Linked DNA regions of Neodiprion lecontei. The protein of the gene in region 2 binds, or shares a complex with, the protein of the main gene of each other region. Links are inferred from orthologs where the notes say so. Each region holds a gene or a part of one and is shown on either strand. Other genes may lie near its edges. The genes, in order: dynein regulatory complex protein 8-like, dynein regulatory complex subunit 3 and dynein regulatory complex subunit 7-like.

Evidence for each region.
Region 1: dynein regulatory complex subunit 3 (region 2) and dynein regulatory complex protein 8-like share a complex: the UniProt entries of both Homo sapiens proteins name them as parts of the nexin-dynein regulatory complex. The link is inferred for Neodiprion lecontei from reciprocal best matches to the Homo sapiens genes DRC3 and DRC8.
Region 3: dynein regulatory complex subunit 3 (region 2) and dynein regulatory complex subunit 7-like share a complex: the UniProt entries of both Homo sapiens proteins name them as parts of the nexin-dynein regulatory complex. The link is inferred for Neodiprion lecontei from reciprocal best matches to the Homo sapiens genes DRC3 and DRC7.

Annotation. Positions count from the first base shown.
Region 1 is NC_060266.1:25,923,619-25,927,228, reverse strand, and holds dynein regulatory complex protein 8-like, read right to left. Parts: upstream 1,682-3,610; 5' UTR 1,645-1,681; coding exon 1,566-1,644; intron 1,376-1,565; coding exon 1,268-1,375; intron 1,168-1,267; coding exon 1,047-1,167; intron 950-1,046; coding exon 739-949; intron 632-738; coding exon 509-631; downstream 1-508. Other genes in the region: delta(3,5)-Delta(2,4)-dienoyl-CoA isomerase, mitochondrial, read left to right, coding at 74-175; heterogeneous nuclear ribonucleoprotein U-like protein 1, read left to right, coding at 2,147-2,279, 2,578-3,569. UniProt on the Homo sapiens protein: Component of the nexin-dynein regulatory complex (N-DRC), a key regulator of ciliary/flagellar motility which maintains the alignment and integrity of the distal axoneme and regulates microtubule sliding in motile axonemes.
Region 2 is NC_060263.1:21,534,798-21,541,530, reverse strand, and holds dynein regulatory complex subunit 3, read right to left. Parts: upstream 5,027-6,733; 5' UTR 4,927-5,026; intron 4,908-4,926; exon of another isoform or gene 4,405-4,907; intron 4,316-4,404; 5' UTR 4,301-4,315; coding exon 4,123-4,300; intron 3,902-4,122; coding exon 3,618-3,901; intron 3,385-3,617; coding exon 3,212-3,384; intron 2,980-3,211; coding exon 2,822-2,979; intron 2,374-2,821; coding exon 2,181-2,373; intron 1,931-2,180; coding exon 1,723-1,930; intron 1,441-1,722; coding exon 1,186-1,440; intron 1,020-1,185; coding exon 943-1,019; intron 775-942; coding exon 627-774; 3' UTR 554-626; downstream 1-553. Other genes in the region: enoyl-CoA delta isomerase 1, mitochondrial, read left to right, coding at 176-336; TOM1-like protein 2, read left to right, coding at 5,283-5,340, 6,095-6,264. UniProt on the Homo sapiens protein: Component of the nexin-dynein regulatory complex (N-DRC) a key regulator of ciliary/flagellar motility which maintains the alignment and integrity of the distal axoneme and regulates microtubule sliding in motile axonemes.
Region 3 is NC_060266.1:422,749-427,748, reverse strand, and holds the start of dynein regulatory complex subunit 7-like, read right to left. Parts: upstream 3,139-5,000; 5' UTR 3,133-3,138; coding exon 3,121-3,132; intron 108-3,120; exon of another isoform or gene 1-107. UniProt on the Homo sapiens protein: Component of the nexin-dynein regulatory complex (N-DRC) a key regulator of ciliary/flagellar motility which maintains the alignment and integrity of the distal axoneme and regulates microtubule sliding in motile axonemes.

The DNA.
Region 1 (3,610 bases), on a different chromosome or scaffold from region 2:
GTAACTGAGTACTTAATGATCGTTATTAATGATAGTTATAATTATTGTTAGTAATTTTGGTTTCTGCTTTCAGCTCATGTACAATCAAGTAATGTTGCAAAGTGAGGATCTTGCTAACTCTGTCATGGCACAGGTGAGCAAGAGTGGGGAAGCGCCTGTGTTCTCCAAACTGTGAAGGATAGAGACCACTATTTGTCAGCGAAATCAGGTTCCGACTACCTGTTTTTCTGTAACTATGACCAATGTAAACAAAGATAAATTAGGGAACTTGACTGTTTAATAGCCAATATTTTTATCACTGCATATCCGTAAATCGCAGTATCAGTCTTACAATTGGACATCAATTATTTTTGGTAATAAATCGATTTCAATACTCAAAAAGTACATTGAGAATGTAATTATAGTCTAGCTATTACACAGTGACTATAAAAATAGTAATATTGTATGTACTTGAGAATTTCACGGACAAACTATGTTTAATTTTCTTTTGTTCATAATTTTGACAGTGTCAATGAGGTACCGAGGCATCAATAAGGCTGCCCAAACCTCGTTTCTTAGGCATGGCCGCAAGCCGATCAGCCTCAATTTTATCGGCAACTTTATAAGGATTGGTATCATCCGGATATTTTAACTATGCAGGGAAAAAACCAGAAATTCTGTATGTAACGGGTAGAAGGACAGAATCGTTGAATCTGATCTTTTACATGGATTATGTTTTGAATCTCGAGCTATACTCACAATAAGCAGATTGATAAAGTGTTCATAGTTGATTCTATTCGTTGCGGGGTCACAAGCTACAAACATCATCTCGTTTACTTCATCTTGAGTAAAAGGCTCTCCCAGTTCCATCAGTGCTTTTGCCAAATCATCTCTCATAATATAACCGTGGTTTTCAGGATCAAATAGCTGGAATGCTTTCAATAATTCCTCAGGTTCTGCTGGCTTTAATCTGAGGATAATTTTCCATAATTGCTACTTGGTATTCATGACTCTTACTTGCTGACAATGATACTTGGATCAACGTATGCGGAGAGAGTCAGACTCACTTGTGTTCGTTAATGGTTTTAGTCATATATTCTACAAATCTGGATTGTGAAACGGAATTATTTTCCACATCCTCCAACTGAACTTGAATTTCCTGCAATTCTGCCTCAGTCATAACACATCCTGTAACCCAGGCAAATAAATTTCAGTCAAAAATGCAAGGAAGGACAGTTTCAGACTTGCTACATTCTAGTTTGAAGAGTATTCCCCTTTTAGTGCTTACCTAGCGATCGTATCATTGTTCCCAAGTCTCTGACATCCACTTCTTGGATTTTGGCAGTGTCAAAGACGTCAAATGCATTGTGTATCAGTTTTTCCAATAGATTCGGCCCTTTTAGTGAAATAAGCTTGTGTTATTCACCACTCTGAATGTTAAATTTAGATTTAGGTGCGATAACCAGAAATGACTGTTAGAAGAATTGCATCAGCGTAAAACATAATCTAAAATCGTGACCGACGATGCGATTATGTGAACGCTAATGCAAAGGGATAAAAAATTAAGCTTTAAGAACAGAAGATACCCTCCGAACTTGATAAAGACAATCCCCGTTTCATTACTGAACTTCTGCGGCGTACCTCGCTATTTCGTTCTTGCGCCATATTGACCAAATAAAATCACCCCTAAGACCGTTACTGCGAGTTACCGCGATGGTGTGTGTATTACGGAAAGAAGATATCGCGAAAAGAATTCATTTCATTACGTATTTTTTCGCGCTCTTATCCCGCGGATGTCATCATCGACAACTGAACGAACATTTAGGGTGTGAAGATTAACTAAAAAAAAAATTGCACGGGGTGTGCTGTAAGCCAGTTCATAATTACCGCCGCCCGAAACATCCCTACTTTGGCCAATCGGATCGCTTTTCGTCGGTATATGTCAAATGAAAGAGTAAGTTTGATTGACTGTCGCAATGGCGTCGTTTCGAATTCGCGTCCGACGAGCCAATCGGATATGCCGTATCACTCCGCGTATTGTTTGCAATGTCGCCGCCATATTGCGAGCGCAGCGCGGGTCACCGTCGCGTGTATGGCTCATTCCTGAAAGCATTTTCGATCGAGTAAATATTGTGCGGTTGTTTGTAAAATAAATAAATCCATCGCCATGGATCCCGCGAAGCTGAAAGTGGTCGAGCTGCGGGCAGAGCTCTCTCATCGCGGTCTCGATACCAAAGGAAATAAAGCTGTCCTCGTCGAGCGACTCCGCAAGGCTTTGGAGGACGAAGAAGCCGAAGACCGTAAGAAAACATTCGGCTTACCGCTCACTAGGCGTTACTGCTTATCCCAGTAGTTTCCCGCTTAAATTGCGTCCAAACACGGCGTCTAATACAGTCTAGTCACTGGCGCCGGAAAACTGTTTACTCCTCGATTGGAACACCCCGATATCCCAACCTATTTCCAACCTGTCTTCCTTACCTCAGGACGCCGTGATTTTTTATGCATCTGATTTCCATTTTACTTATTATCAGGAAACGCAACAATCTCAAATTCAATTATGTATGCTCCAGTGTTATTTGTTACTTTTCATTCATTTAGAAGTCGAAGAAACGACGATCCCTGAGTCGAACGATGAGGTAGGTGTGGATACCAGGGAGGCACAACCACACGAGCAGTCGCCAGAGCCGGAACCTGCAAAACCCTCACCAACCGCTAAAACACCCGGGGGGCGATCTGCTCGCAGCGCTTCAGCTACCAGCCCTTCCAAAACACCTTCGAGAGCAGCTGCGAGGGCGAAACAATCGCCTTCTCCAGCCAAAGCTCCACCACCGGAAGAACAGAGGAAGCCTTCCCCTGTACCTGAGGAACCAGCTCCCGAGCCAGATGCGCGCGAACCTGAGGTCCCTCCTCGAGTTGCAACGCCTGAAAATATTACAGATCCCTCCACAAGATCACCAGTGAAAGAATCACATACAGTTAGCCCTGAGAAGATAGAGCCGCAGCCTGAAGAACATGTCGAATCCGTTCTCGCAAGTGTGGAGGAGAGTCCGCAGCAAATGGAAGAACCTGTTTCACAATTTGAAGTACAATCTGATTTCACGAAAACCGCTACAGAACAACAAGTGAATGTGCCTGAAAAAACAGAAGAGCATTCGACTACCGTAATGGAACAGCAGCCACAAGAAGAATTTGTTGAGGAAACGCCTCCAGAAACCAAAGTTTCACATAGCTCCGAACCACTAGAAAAACTTGAACCAGTTGAATCTGCAAACCAAAATGATGAGAATCTTGATCCTGTCAAGGAAGAAATGGCTAAAGATGATGAAATGAACAATGAAGAAGAATCGAAGGAAGAAGATGTGGATGACAGGGTGTCCAACAAGGAAGAGAATGATACAAAAGATTCAATTGAATCTGTCCAAATCCAGGAGGAATCTGAACAAGATGAAAAGAATGTCATTTCTAAAACAGTAAACTTGGAACCAACTGTTCCAGGGGAAGAGGATCCGGAAGAAAATATACCTGAAGATAACAAAGAAAAAATTGAATACTATGACTACGACGAAAGGACGGTGAAACGAGAAGAACAGGTAAGTATCGTTTGCTTTTTCTTGTAGTGCTTACGATTCAC
Region 2 (6,733 bases):
ATAGATCAGTGGCATTACATGCTTAGAACATATGTATATATTATGTATGCATTATGAAGATATCATTGCAAAATCAAATACAATGTGAAAATCTTTAAGTCTCGGTATTCTGTGTGATAATATTAACTGTATTATTTTAGAATACAGATATTCTAATACAAATTTTGTTCTGCAGCTGGTGCAAGGTCCGCAACGAAGCATCAGTTAAGGAAGTCAGCACTCTCATGGCTTGAAAAAAATAGAGATTTTGATGTGAAAATATTCATTGGCTTCTTAGAGCAACCACAGGTACAAAAGGGTTTGGATATGTACATCCAGAGCTTAAAAAAGAAGTGAAACCGCTGAAGCTAACAGTAACGATACGTCATGCCATAACAGCCCCCACCTGACAGAGCTGTGATATATGGCGAATACAATAGATTTTTCTACTTTACAATGCAGATAAGAAATAAAAATATTTTGATATGAATTTATTTACCGTGAATTTTTTTGAGTATGTTATATTTGAAATAGGTACTAATAAACAGTAGGAATGGATAAAACGTTTATTGTTTATACATTTAATTCATTTTGTTCACAGTATTATGAAACAAACTGGCTTTATAAGAAATCAGTTGCTTTATGTTTTATTGCTCAAGTACTGCAGCAATATCTGGATCGTCAGTGTTCACGTATAACGGCTGCTGTAATTGTAGTGCATCAAATTCTTCCCGTTGACACTCAAGAAAATGGGAAATTTCTAGTATCTTCTGACGGTTCCGGTTACTTTCATTCCTTAAAACAGAAAAACGAAGACCACCTCGACTTTACTAATATGGTTACTACTCGAAAAATATAGGTCACAAATTCTACAGTCTACAGTCTATTTTAAAAACGAGACAGATCTCGTGTATCTTGGATATTTGTGGTTTAAATTATCTCAATAGTTATGCTGCTACTTACTCTGCCAATTTTTCAATCTTCCCTTCAAGCCAACCATTAAGTCGACTTGTTAGACGATCTTCACGCCCATCGATGATCTGAATAAGCAGAATTTAAAAGAATTTTATGAGAGCCCATGTCATTTATCATGTTGTTTTGATCATTATGCAACTGCTCGAAAAACGTAAGCGATGAAAAACGACATTTGTTGATTTTAAATAGCTTAATATTTATTCGTGCACTCAAATAAGCATATAAGCATACCTGGAGATGTAGATCATGGGATGCTGCCAAATTGTTATTCAAAATGTCCTTATCACCGATTATATCCGTTACACTAGGTGACATTTTACTATCTTCCGTAGCCTGACTTGTATTCATAACAACACTAGCTATTCCAGCAATGTTGTCGGTATATTCGGCTTCCAGATTTCTCATTAATGAGAATATATTCTGGGCTGCTTCTAAGAACGATCCAACCATATCTGTCATATGCTGTTTGAACACTTCGTTTATATCCTGCAGATATGTCATTGTTAATATATAATTATCAGTATTTGTTGCAATCAATACTTATAAAAAGCTGCAGGTCAAACGTCGCAAGTGTGTCTAATTGATTTGCTCGGTCAATATTAGTTTTATTAAGCAATAGGAGGTATTTGGAGAACTCTGATTACTTGTGCAATCCAAATCAAATGTTTATCATGTATGACTAACTTTGCCTTGTGTGAAACTATATGAATAGCTGAAAGGAATACCAGTAATTCATTCAACACCAGTGATAAATAAATGGATACACACTTCCATTTGGTCATGAAGAATCACTTCCTTGTGCATGAGCTTTGTCCAGGTTCTAGCCACCAAGTCACTGAATTCTTCGGACAGCTGACGAGCTTTGTCTAATTTTTCTTCGAGAACTTCAGTCTCCAACTCTTCAGTCATTGATTGCATAAGTGCTTTTACGTCTGCTAAGATTTCAGCCTTTCTATCCATTATTTCATCCATCATCCTTTATACAAAAAAATTTCAATTGAAAGAAATGCTAATAAATTTATTTGTCCGAAGAATATGATTAGCATTTTTTTGTGTATTTATACTTGTAATTTAATGAAAGTCTCATTTATTGTGAAATTGTTTTAATAGTATGAATAATTGACGAAATCTGTGATTTATTTTTACTAATTATTGACATTTGCGATTATACACTTTATATTCATATTATTATTATATGAATTATGTAAGGTATATCTGGTACTTACATTTGGGAATCTTTCTGAATGTCGTCTTCACCTTTAGTGACTAAATCTTCAAACATTTTTATTTCGTTGGACCTTCGGATTTGTTCAGCTAGCCCCAGTTCATACAAATCTTTGCAAAGTTCCATGAACTTTACTTTATACTCCGCATATGCAGATCGTGCATCTTCGCTGAGTGTTAAGAAGTCGTTACCTTCTGTAATGAAGTATTTCTGAATCAAAATGTGAATTTTACATATTTTCAGACATTCAATTTTCAAATATTATGGTAAAATTCACACTTAAGACGGAAATTTTATTTATTGAATATTTTTCTGCTTGAAAAGCCTGATAGGCATTGATAGATCACGATTAGATATTAAAGAATATCATAGAATACGAGCCACAAACACGATACACAGTGATAAGTCTATGGTGTTTCTGAAATCCATTCTATAATATTCTATTAGAATCTTACAAATCCTCTCAAACTTTTCCAGTAGGGCTAGATTAACGAAAAAAAAAATCGTATCCCAGACGAATAAGCGTAGTTTGATGCCAAATAGAAAGTATTGATGTCTTAAGATAAAGAGAATAATATTTAAGATATTGTTGATAAAAGCAAAAAGAATTAAAAGAGAAAATTTTCTTTCTTTCATAATTACCCTTGTCTTTTTCAAACATTTTATTGAACAAGTAGTCGTCATCGAGATATTCCACGTAAGATATGGATAATAATGCAACATTTTCCTCAAATGCTGCTTGCTTGTCCAACTTTTCTTGTTCTTTAGCTTCTTCTTCCAACAAATTACTAATGATTCGACTAAAACATTTAAGTATACAAACTGATTATCATTAATTCTGTTTAAACGCATCTAGGATAAAACTTGAACAATGCATTATTAATTTCTTCCTGCAATTCTTTTACTATAATATTTATATCCCATGATGGCCTGCAATATCTGGCGGTATTAAAAATACTCTAAATTATGAGCATGAGTGGATTTTTACAAATCAATCTAACTCTGTCGATTTACGGGAAATATGAAATTTACTAATGTTCATCAGCGGCAGCCTGGCGTTCTCGGTCCGTTATCATTTTGTACTGAAGATAGATTAATTGTGGTATAAAGGCAATCAAATAGTTCAAATATCCTTCTTTTTCCATGCACGAATTTCCAGAGACATTTAAACTCCGTAATTTTTTGAATTTCCGTAAATACATGACCTGTAAAAATTTAGCAATTATGCTGACCATGAAATTTAAGCAAATTGGAGCCCTACATATAGCTATCAATAATAATTTAATTACAGTGCGATAATTTAAGATTGGTTGATTCAATGATTGAAAAAGTATAAGAATTTCTAGGTGATAATTGACTAAGTTAAAAAAAAATAACAATAATAACAATAACACACATGATGCGAAATTAGAACTTATGTAGAAGAATAATGAATTACATGATGCCAATCGGCAATATTGTTATTTCCAATACTGAAAATTGTAAGTTCATTCAAATCGTCGATTCCCTGAATAAGACTAATTTGATTCTCATACAGCAATAAAATTTCCAAACATTTCAAATGGTTCAAATTCTCCATAGTTTCGATATGGTTGAACGACAGATCAAGCTCTTTTAAATTAATCAGGACATCCAAGTTAACAATCCTTTCAATTTTGTTGTTGCTCAGTTTTAATTTCACCAAGTTTGGCATTAACCATAGGTGGTCTATATTTAAAATATCTAAAAAAGATAAAAGTAATGAGTATAAGGAACTATTTTGTTCTGAAATAGGATTCGACACTACATTACAAAAAAAAAAAAAACAATTTAACAGCTAGCACGAAGTTTTCCGAGTCTTCATATTCGTACACTCGATGTAAGACCATCGACGTTTATTAATTTTTTTTCGACACCCTACCGCGCCCGTGTTGGATCCCACATAATATCCATAGGTTTCTTACTAAGAAATTCGATTCGAATTTCTGTCACTTCTTCCAGGTTTATCCCATCCTCTACGAACAATCTTCCAGCTTCCTTTTTTGGCCCTTGGTCAATTATTAAAGCCACGAGCATTTTTTGGTCTATCACCCCAGGTTCTGCGGATTCTTGCAATATTATCGGTTTGTCTTCAGTCTTCATAATTTATACTGCGTTCTAAAAACTCTTCGTTGTATTTTGTATGTTTAAATGAAATACAACGATGAAGAAACTGGTGTATGCAGTTGTACGAAACGTTAACTCACGTGAATAATTTTAGCATTCAAAATTCACGTATCAGCTAGTTCAAAATGTGGGATGGTCTGATGTAAAATTTAACCTTAGAATTCACATTTGCTTGGTATTCATATCAACAAAATAGTTTCCCGTTTCCATAGCGATATAGATATTTATACTTTCGTCGCAATGAGCCTGATGACATGACTCATTGAACATTACTATATCGATTCTTTGTTTTTGCCACGTTACAAAATGCACATTCAAGACTAAATCGAATTAAAAGCAATTAGATTTTAATGATAAAGCATTTTTTTTCGCATGATCGAATTCGAAAACTTTGAAAATGAGATTATAAAAATTCGTGATTGTTGAATTTCAAACTTTGCTCCGATTTGAAAATCCGATCGTAAATATGGCATCACGCCTCAGTTTTCAGGCAAAATGTATATTAAAAATAAGAAATTGTCGTAATAAATATAGACGCAATTGACGAATCCCAGTTCATTACACTCATTATCCGAACGATGTTGACTATAGGCATTACTTACGCCTCGTCTTCCGAGGCGTTTGAATATGCGTAGCAAGCATTCAATCGAGGCGGCCATTTTGATTTTTGAGCCAATAGGCGGTCATTTAGCGAAGCCAGTGCAGCTGCGTCACGGAAAATGGAGTACCATTGGTCGGGGAAAACATGATTTGACGTCTAGGCGCAGTACTCCATTACCACGGTGTCATATGATTATCTCTACGTGACACATCGGGAGAGTGAAAATTTGATAAACTGTTACTGTCCGACAACAATTTGCCGATAAATTTACCGTCAGGCTACTTACTTATGCGGCAGTAAGCCGAGAGGCAGTGTGCAAAGTTCTAACATCCAAATACGGTATAAAAGGAACAAAAAATGTCTTTTTTCGGTGTACCTGTGAATCCATTTTCGACGCCAGTTGGTCAGAGAATAGGTGAGATTCATAGTTCGTCGTATAAGCCTAGCTTTTTCCATGCCATTGTTGTTTTGACCATATATTCATTCGCCTAATTGGTTACTTACTGCATTATTACGTAAACGTTCAATACTATTGTCTTGGCGTGTCGCGATTTTTTTTAGTTGTTTTGTTTTATTGATTATTTTCTGCACCACATTGTTGTAGCACTCCTTAGCTTTCCTTTCTTTCTTTATTTTTTATATTCCCTTCTTCCTCTGGTTACCTTAGATTTACTAATGAACATTGAGGTGCACTAATTATGTAGTCAATTATCAGGAGCATAAGCGGAACGTTTAATTAGCGTAAATTATTATTGTCTATATTTTCTTACTGAGCTGCTTCAAAGGTGTGAACTGATGGAAACTTATCACAATTTTTGCAATAATATTCCTCTGAATAATGGTGCAATTATATTAGTAATTATATTTCCTTGAAAATATAATTAAATTACCTTGTATCATTGTCTGTTAATGGGCACTTGCCATAGAATCCAATTCACTTGAAACTAGATCTTGTTAACAGGTTTATATTCTATTTTTAGATGAAACTTATTCTCAGTGAATTCAAAAAATCTGCAAAAAAATCCACTCGCTGAAATTTTTTACTCGCATGTCGCAGCCTGCGTGGCAGTAGGAATATAAATGATGTCTACAAATTGAACCAATTATGCGCTGTTACTGTAACTCAACGTGTACTGGAATAATTGAGACATTGTGATATAAAATTGCAGAACAAGCTACAGATGGAAGCCTGCCAAGTGAGAATTGGGCACTTAATATGGAAATATGCGATATCATTAACGAAACTGAAGACGGACCTCGGGATGCAGTTAAAGCTATTCGACGGCGATTGAATCAAGCAGCTGGAAAGAACTATACCATCGTTATGTACACTCTCACTGTTAGTATTTGGTCCTTCTAATTTGTCTGCTATGGGCAAAAACAGAGTTTTCTTTCCCTTAACAGCACAATGTCATGAAGCTGAACCTAGTGGTTCCAGTTAGTCACTCAACATACTCAACTTTTTCCAAATGGAGTTCTGTAGTACAATTCAATACTTATGATTCTGTAAATGTATTAAACTTTCTAGAGATTTGAAGAAATTTTGAATTCTGAGCCTTCACATCATTTTGCTTTGATGATCTTTTTCAACTAACATTAGTATGCATAGCAGCTAATTTTGACCACTGGCTTGAACATAATTACCAACATGCACGTAATTATTATTCACCCCTATAGGTTTTAAGCATTATATTTTATTCTATGTGGTAGAAGATGAAATATTTTTGAACAGCAATAGCAACAACAGTTTCTTCCAATTGTCGTTATATCGCGTATTTGTACCGCAAAGAAATAATTCCTAAAAATTT
Region 3 (5,000 bases), on a different chromosome or scaffold from region 2:
TGCGAAGAGAGAGAGAAAGTGCAAGTGTGAGAGAGCGAGAGAGAGACGACGGATCTCTCTGCCTCTGCAACGCGGGCAGCGGCAGACAGGCACCGCGGGTCACCGCCTTTCCGTCCCCCGGCCGCCCCCTCGCGCCGCCCTTGTTATTAGTCGACGGTACACACACACGCACACACACACACACACCCATGTATAGATGTGCCCACCCTAAATTCACTCGGTCGCGTTGGAACGCGCACAAATTTTGCCCCGAGGTGAGAGAAGCAGCGTCTCCTCTCGCTAGCTCTACACTCGCGCGATATTCTCTTCAACTATATTCCCTATTTGCGCCTCGAGTGTATATATAGGTAGGTATAATGTACCATACATACGTTGCCTTGGATCAAACTCGGTGTTTTTTCATGCCTTGTATGTACGCGGCGTAGGGCAGAGTGGGTCTAAACGAACCTCTCTCTCTCTCTCTCTCTCTCTCTCTCTCTCTCTCTCTCTCTCTCTCTCTCTCTCTCTCTCTCTCTCTCTCTCTCTCTCTCTCTCTCTCTCTCTCTCTCTCTCTCTCTCTCTCTCTCTCTCTCTTGGATAAAAAGTGAGGGGTTAGCTAAAGGGGAACCATTTACGGAAGAAGGTGAAATTGATAATTGATAGCGTAAACACAGTACACCGATTAGATGGTAATCTAACTCTGAACGTTTAAATCGACGCAAACGATTGGAAAACTACTGTACTTTGCCGTGATTTTGTTAAGGTGGCTGCTTAGATCCGCTCTTTCTCATCACACGTCGACGCGCATACGCGGTACCGATAAATACAACGTATGACCCGCATATAATGTTAATACATATATTATGTAGGTATGGACGTACACGTAAATGTACGTAGACACGTAGGTACAGACTTATAACGCGTATTTACGATCCCTGCAATTCATATACGACTATAGATAGATAAAGTGTGTATATGTACAATGAGGGGGAGCATGGGCGTCGAGACCGCGTGCCGTTGCGTTGATTACTTGATGGCGAGGTCGCGGGTCTTCTCGCGAGACGGACGGGAAGGTCGGCCCCCTCTACCCTCCGTCCTCACCTCGACGCAGTTTTTGCCCGATCGCCGTCCACCTCGCAATTTGGTCGCGCGACTCCGTCGTGCGCGCAAGTCGGATTTAAACCGCCTCACCGCGGCCTCGCGCGAATCTGATCAGACAAATAAGTCTATGCCATAGGTACGTAAGGTGCGTACGTACAACGCAAGTATGCGTGTGCGCGCGTGTGCGTATAGACGCAGGAGCAGCCGCCAATAAACGCCTCGGCGGCAACCTCGAATCGCTCGCGATATACTATATTCCCTCCGCGGCCGGGAAGACCCTAAGTATGTATGGGCATCCACGGTTGCGTACATGCACGCGTACGTTCGTACGATATTCCCAGGTTGACGGGGGTACCGTACGAAGAAACGAACACGCGGAGAGAACGCGAGCGATCGCGCGCGGTTTAGTTCTCTACGTTGTTCGGCTGGCTCGCGGTGAGTCACGCATCGCGAGCTTCCTGTTGCCAGCCTGCCTGCTTGCCTGCCTGCCATGCCTGCCTGCCCGCCCGCCCGCCTGCCTGCCAGCCTGCCAGCCTGTCCGCGACCACCCTTCGTCCTCCCGTCGCCTCCTGGGCCTGTCCTTTTGTCTGACGATCCGTCGGTCCGTCCGATAATCCGCCCGCCGGCTCGTCGTGCCCGCAAGACCGTCGGCTCGTCCGTCACCCGCAGGGTTAAGGGTCTCCTTTTATCTCTGCAAAAGTAAACACGAACCTTCCAAGAGCCGCAAATTCCTACGCATTGCTCCATGGGCGTACCGATACGCGCTTGCACGCACGGCATGCCTAGGAACTACCGTAGCGTACTACGTTGTGTATCACGCCGCCGTGTAACCCATTTCTCGTTTGTCACACAACTATATGCATACTTAGAGATGTCGTATTATCGAGAAGATCCGTGTGTGACTATGGATTGCGAAGAATGTCTTATCGTCCCCTCGTGCTGAGCACACATGCGTCACAATTATACAAATTTCCATCAGGTTATGCGTATCTCATAATCATCGATTGATTCGGGAATTAACCATCTTTACGTTCGACTACGCATACAGGACAGTCAATCGGCTGATGATGACGCAGGAGGTACGCCGATGCTCAAACCCATGCGGAAAATATTGAATTTCCGTTACAAAATTCAAATTCACGTTTCGCGCCAAGACTCACTGCCACTGTACATCTCTCTCTCTCTCTCTCTCTCTCTCTCTCTCTCTCTCTCTCTCTCTCACTCGCTGTCTCTTTCTCTCATTCTCGTCTACACGTTGGGGTTGGTCCGGAGCGCCGACGCACCGATTGTACACAACTGCAGCGCGCGTGTAAGGAAGTACACCGCGAGTTTACGTAGCCGAAAATAATACACCACTGCTAAGCAGGGCATCATGTGACGTATGCAATTACGATGTACCTATGTACGTACGCACGCATGCGACACGGCCGGACGCGATACAACTTGCGCGTTCCCCTCTCTACCGACTGATTGGAATCGGAGCCTAAGCACCGTACCACACATTATCAATAGATTTCATTTAATAATAGCTTTTCGGCCGTGAATATGGAGCGGATGATTTGTAGAGCAACAAATTTTTCTCTTGCATAGATTTTCATCGGTCAAGAGCGTGTCCCGGTACGGACCAAAGCTCGGCAAACATTCGCCGGGTCGCATAATTAGCGATCGAATGTATCTTGCAGCGTACAATAATGATTATTGCCTGAAATGGCCTGTTGGCCTTAACGATATGTAAGTAAACTCTTGTTTATTACTCCTTTATTGAACACATTTCGACAAAATAATTCGTTCCGGGAAGGACCCCATTCGGGCCGGAAGGTGAACATTAAAATTTTGTTTCAAAAAATTTGACCTGCATTTCCAAGATAACAACCAAGCTAATGATTATTCCTTTACATTGTTCTGAATCTACTTCGAATGTCTGATGATAGATCGTATCCATCCGTCCGCGCTGCTTTAGCAATGCTTTATACTCCGGTAAGGATCGAAGGTGTGGTGAACATGGAAAATGAGCGGGAGGATAGAGATGGAGACATTCACCGACTTCAGCATTGCGTACCGAAGCTACATGCTTGGCCCGCCGCACACCCAACTAAGCTTAAAATAGAATTGACCGTTGAATATTGCGGCCTGTACCCGACTACCTACTACCTACTACCTAATATACCTTATCCGTACATCCTATACCTTAGCGACTTAGAAGCAGTAGGAATACGCGGAACCGTTTACTGCAGCCCCGAAGGACCGCGCGGGTGGGTTTTGACCATGAAAATTTCGTGCGAATGGTATATGTATACATAGAAAGAGAAAGAGAGAGAGAGAGAGAGAGAGAGAGAGAGAGAGAGAGAGAGAGAGAGAGAAAGAGAGAGGTTGGGGGTGAAGGAAAGAGGAGGTATATGCGGCTATATGCTACGTGGGTAAGACCGTCGGGTCTCTGCGGCTTTTAGAGCCTGCAGGATACATCGCGGCGACGACGGTGCATCATGCGGGTCTCGCGAGTGAACCAAGTGTCGCAGCTGTTGCCTCTGCTTCCCGATCTCACAAAGGCTCTCGCATCTTTGCGCGAGCATATGTACAACGTGCGCGTTGTACGTTAACGCGTACGTACGTACAGCCACGGTGTTTGATTACGACCGTTTTACAGGGCTCTGCTACCATTTATTTGACCCGCGAAGCACGCGACACGGGTGGCCTTGAAGCGGTCAGAATTCAATACCGTAGGTGTACGTTCTTCGCCGAGCCTAGGTCTCCGGCTCATATACACGTATGTATATACTATATATCGGTTATATATGCAGATATACATGATATAACGTATATGGTATATAATACGTTAAGTAGTACATAATTCGTATGCAGTGGTGGAATGTCGCGTCATCGTCGCCGGATCGCCGGTAAATGTCTCGACGACGTCGCCGACGCTCGCTGCCGTAGCTGCAGCGCGGGCAGAGCCACCGAAGCACGTAATGCCGGGCACACCGAAAGGCGCGCGGAATCGCGAACCCTCGCATCCTGTCTGTCATCCAGGACGGCTGGCTGGGCTGTAGCCCCCCCCCCCTATCTTCCCCCTTACTACCGTGGTTCTCGTCCCCGTATGCACATGGTTTGTACGAAGGTATAGTTATGCAGCAGCGTATGTATGTGCGTAGGACGAGTGCGCACACACCGCACATGTTATATATTTATAAACGTGTGGGTAGATCGGCGAGATATCGAAAGCCTGCAGTCTTTGACAATCCATTAACGCAAATATTCGAATCCGCAACTACGTATCGTCATTACGTCCGTTCCGTACAATAGCGTAGCACTAGTGTAAAGAATAACATGAGAAATTGACGGATCCTCGCCACTTTACGAACACAATCGCGCAGATGCTCGTATTTAATGCCCGCACCCACACGTACCATGTTACATACTGTTGAAATGAAACGCATTTTCATGCGAGAAATTCGACAGCGATAGAATCGCGACGTGTATGCAAATTTTATTCGCAGATCTAAATACACGTAGGATCCATTAATTTAAAATCAACCGGATATCGGTGTAACTGTCCAAAGGTGTGATATGCAAACACTGTCCGGAGCGAAGTGATGGGTTATATCGATGCCAAAATTTTGTCAGTCACAATCAGTCGACGGCGAAATCAAGTTATATAGTCGATAATACGATCAGGCATACGCTTCGTTGAAGAGAAGCAATTTTCTACAATGTATCCTACAGGAACGCGTATACGCGTATAGTGTACAATGTAGACTAGAGGAGCTATACTTACTTACCTTCGTCGCGTTTATGGTTCTGAATTGGGAAAGTTGAAAAAATAGCCGTATCGTCATAGTACGTTAGTATTTTTTTTTTCCTTCGCCTAATCGAGCGAACCTATTATCGGAAACCGTTCGCTTGCCCGCGTATGCCGTTTAATT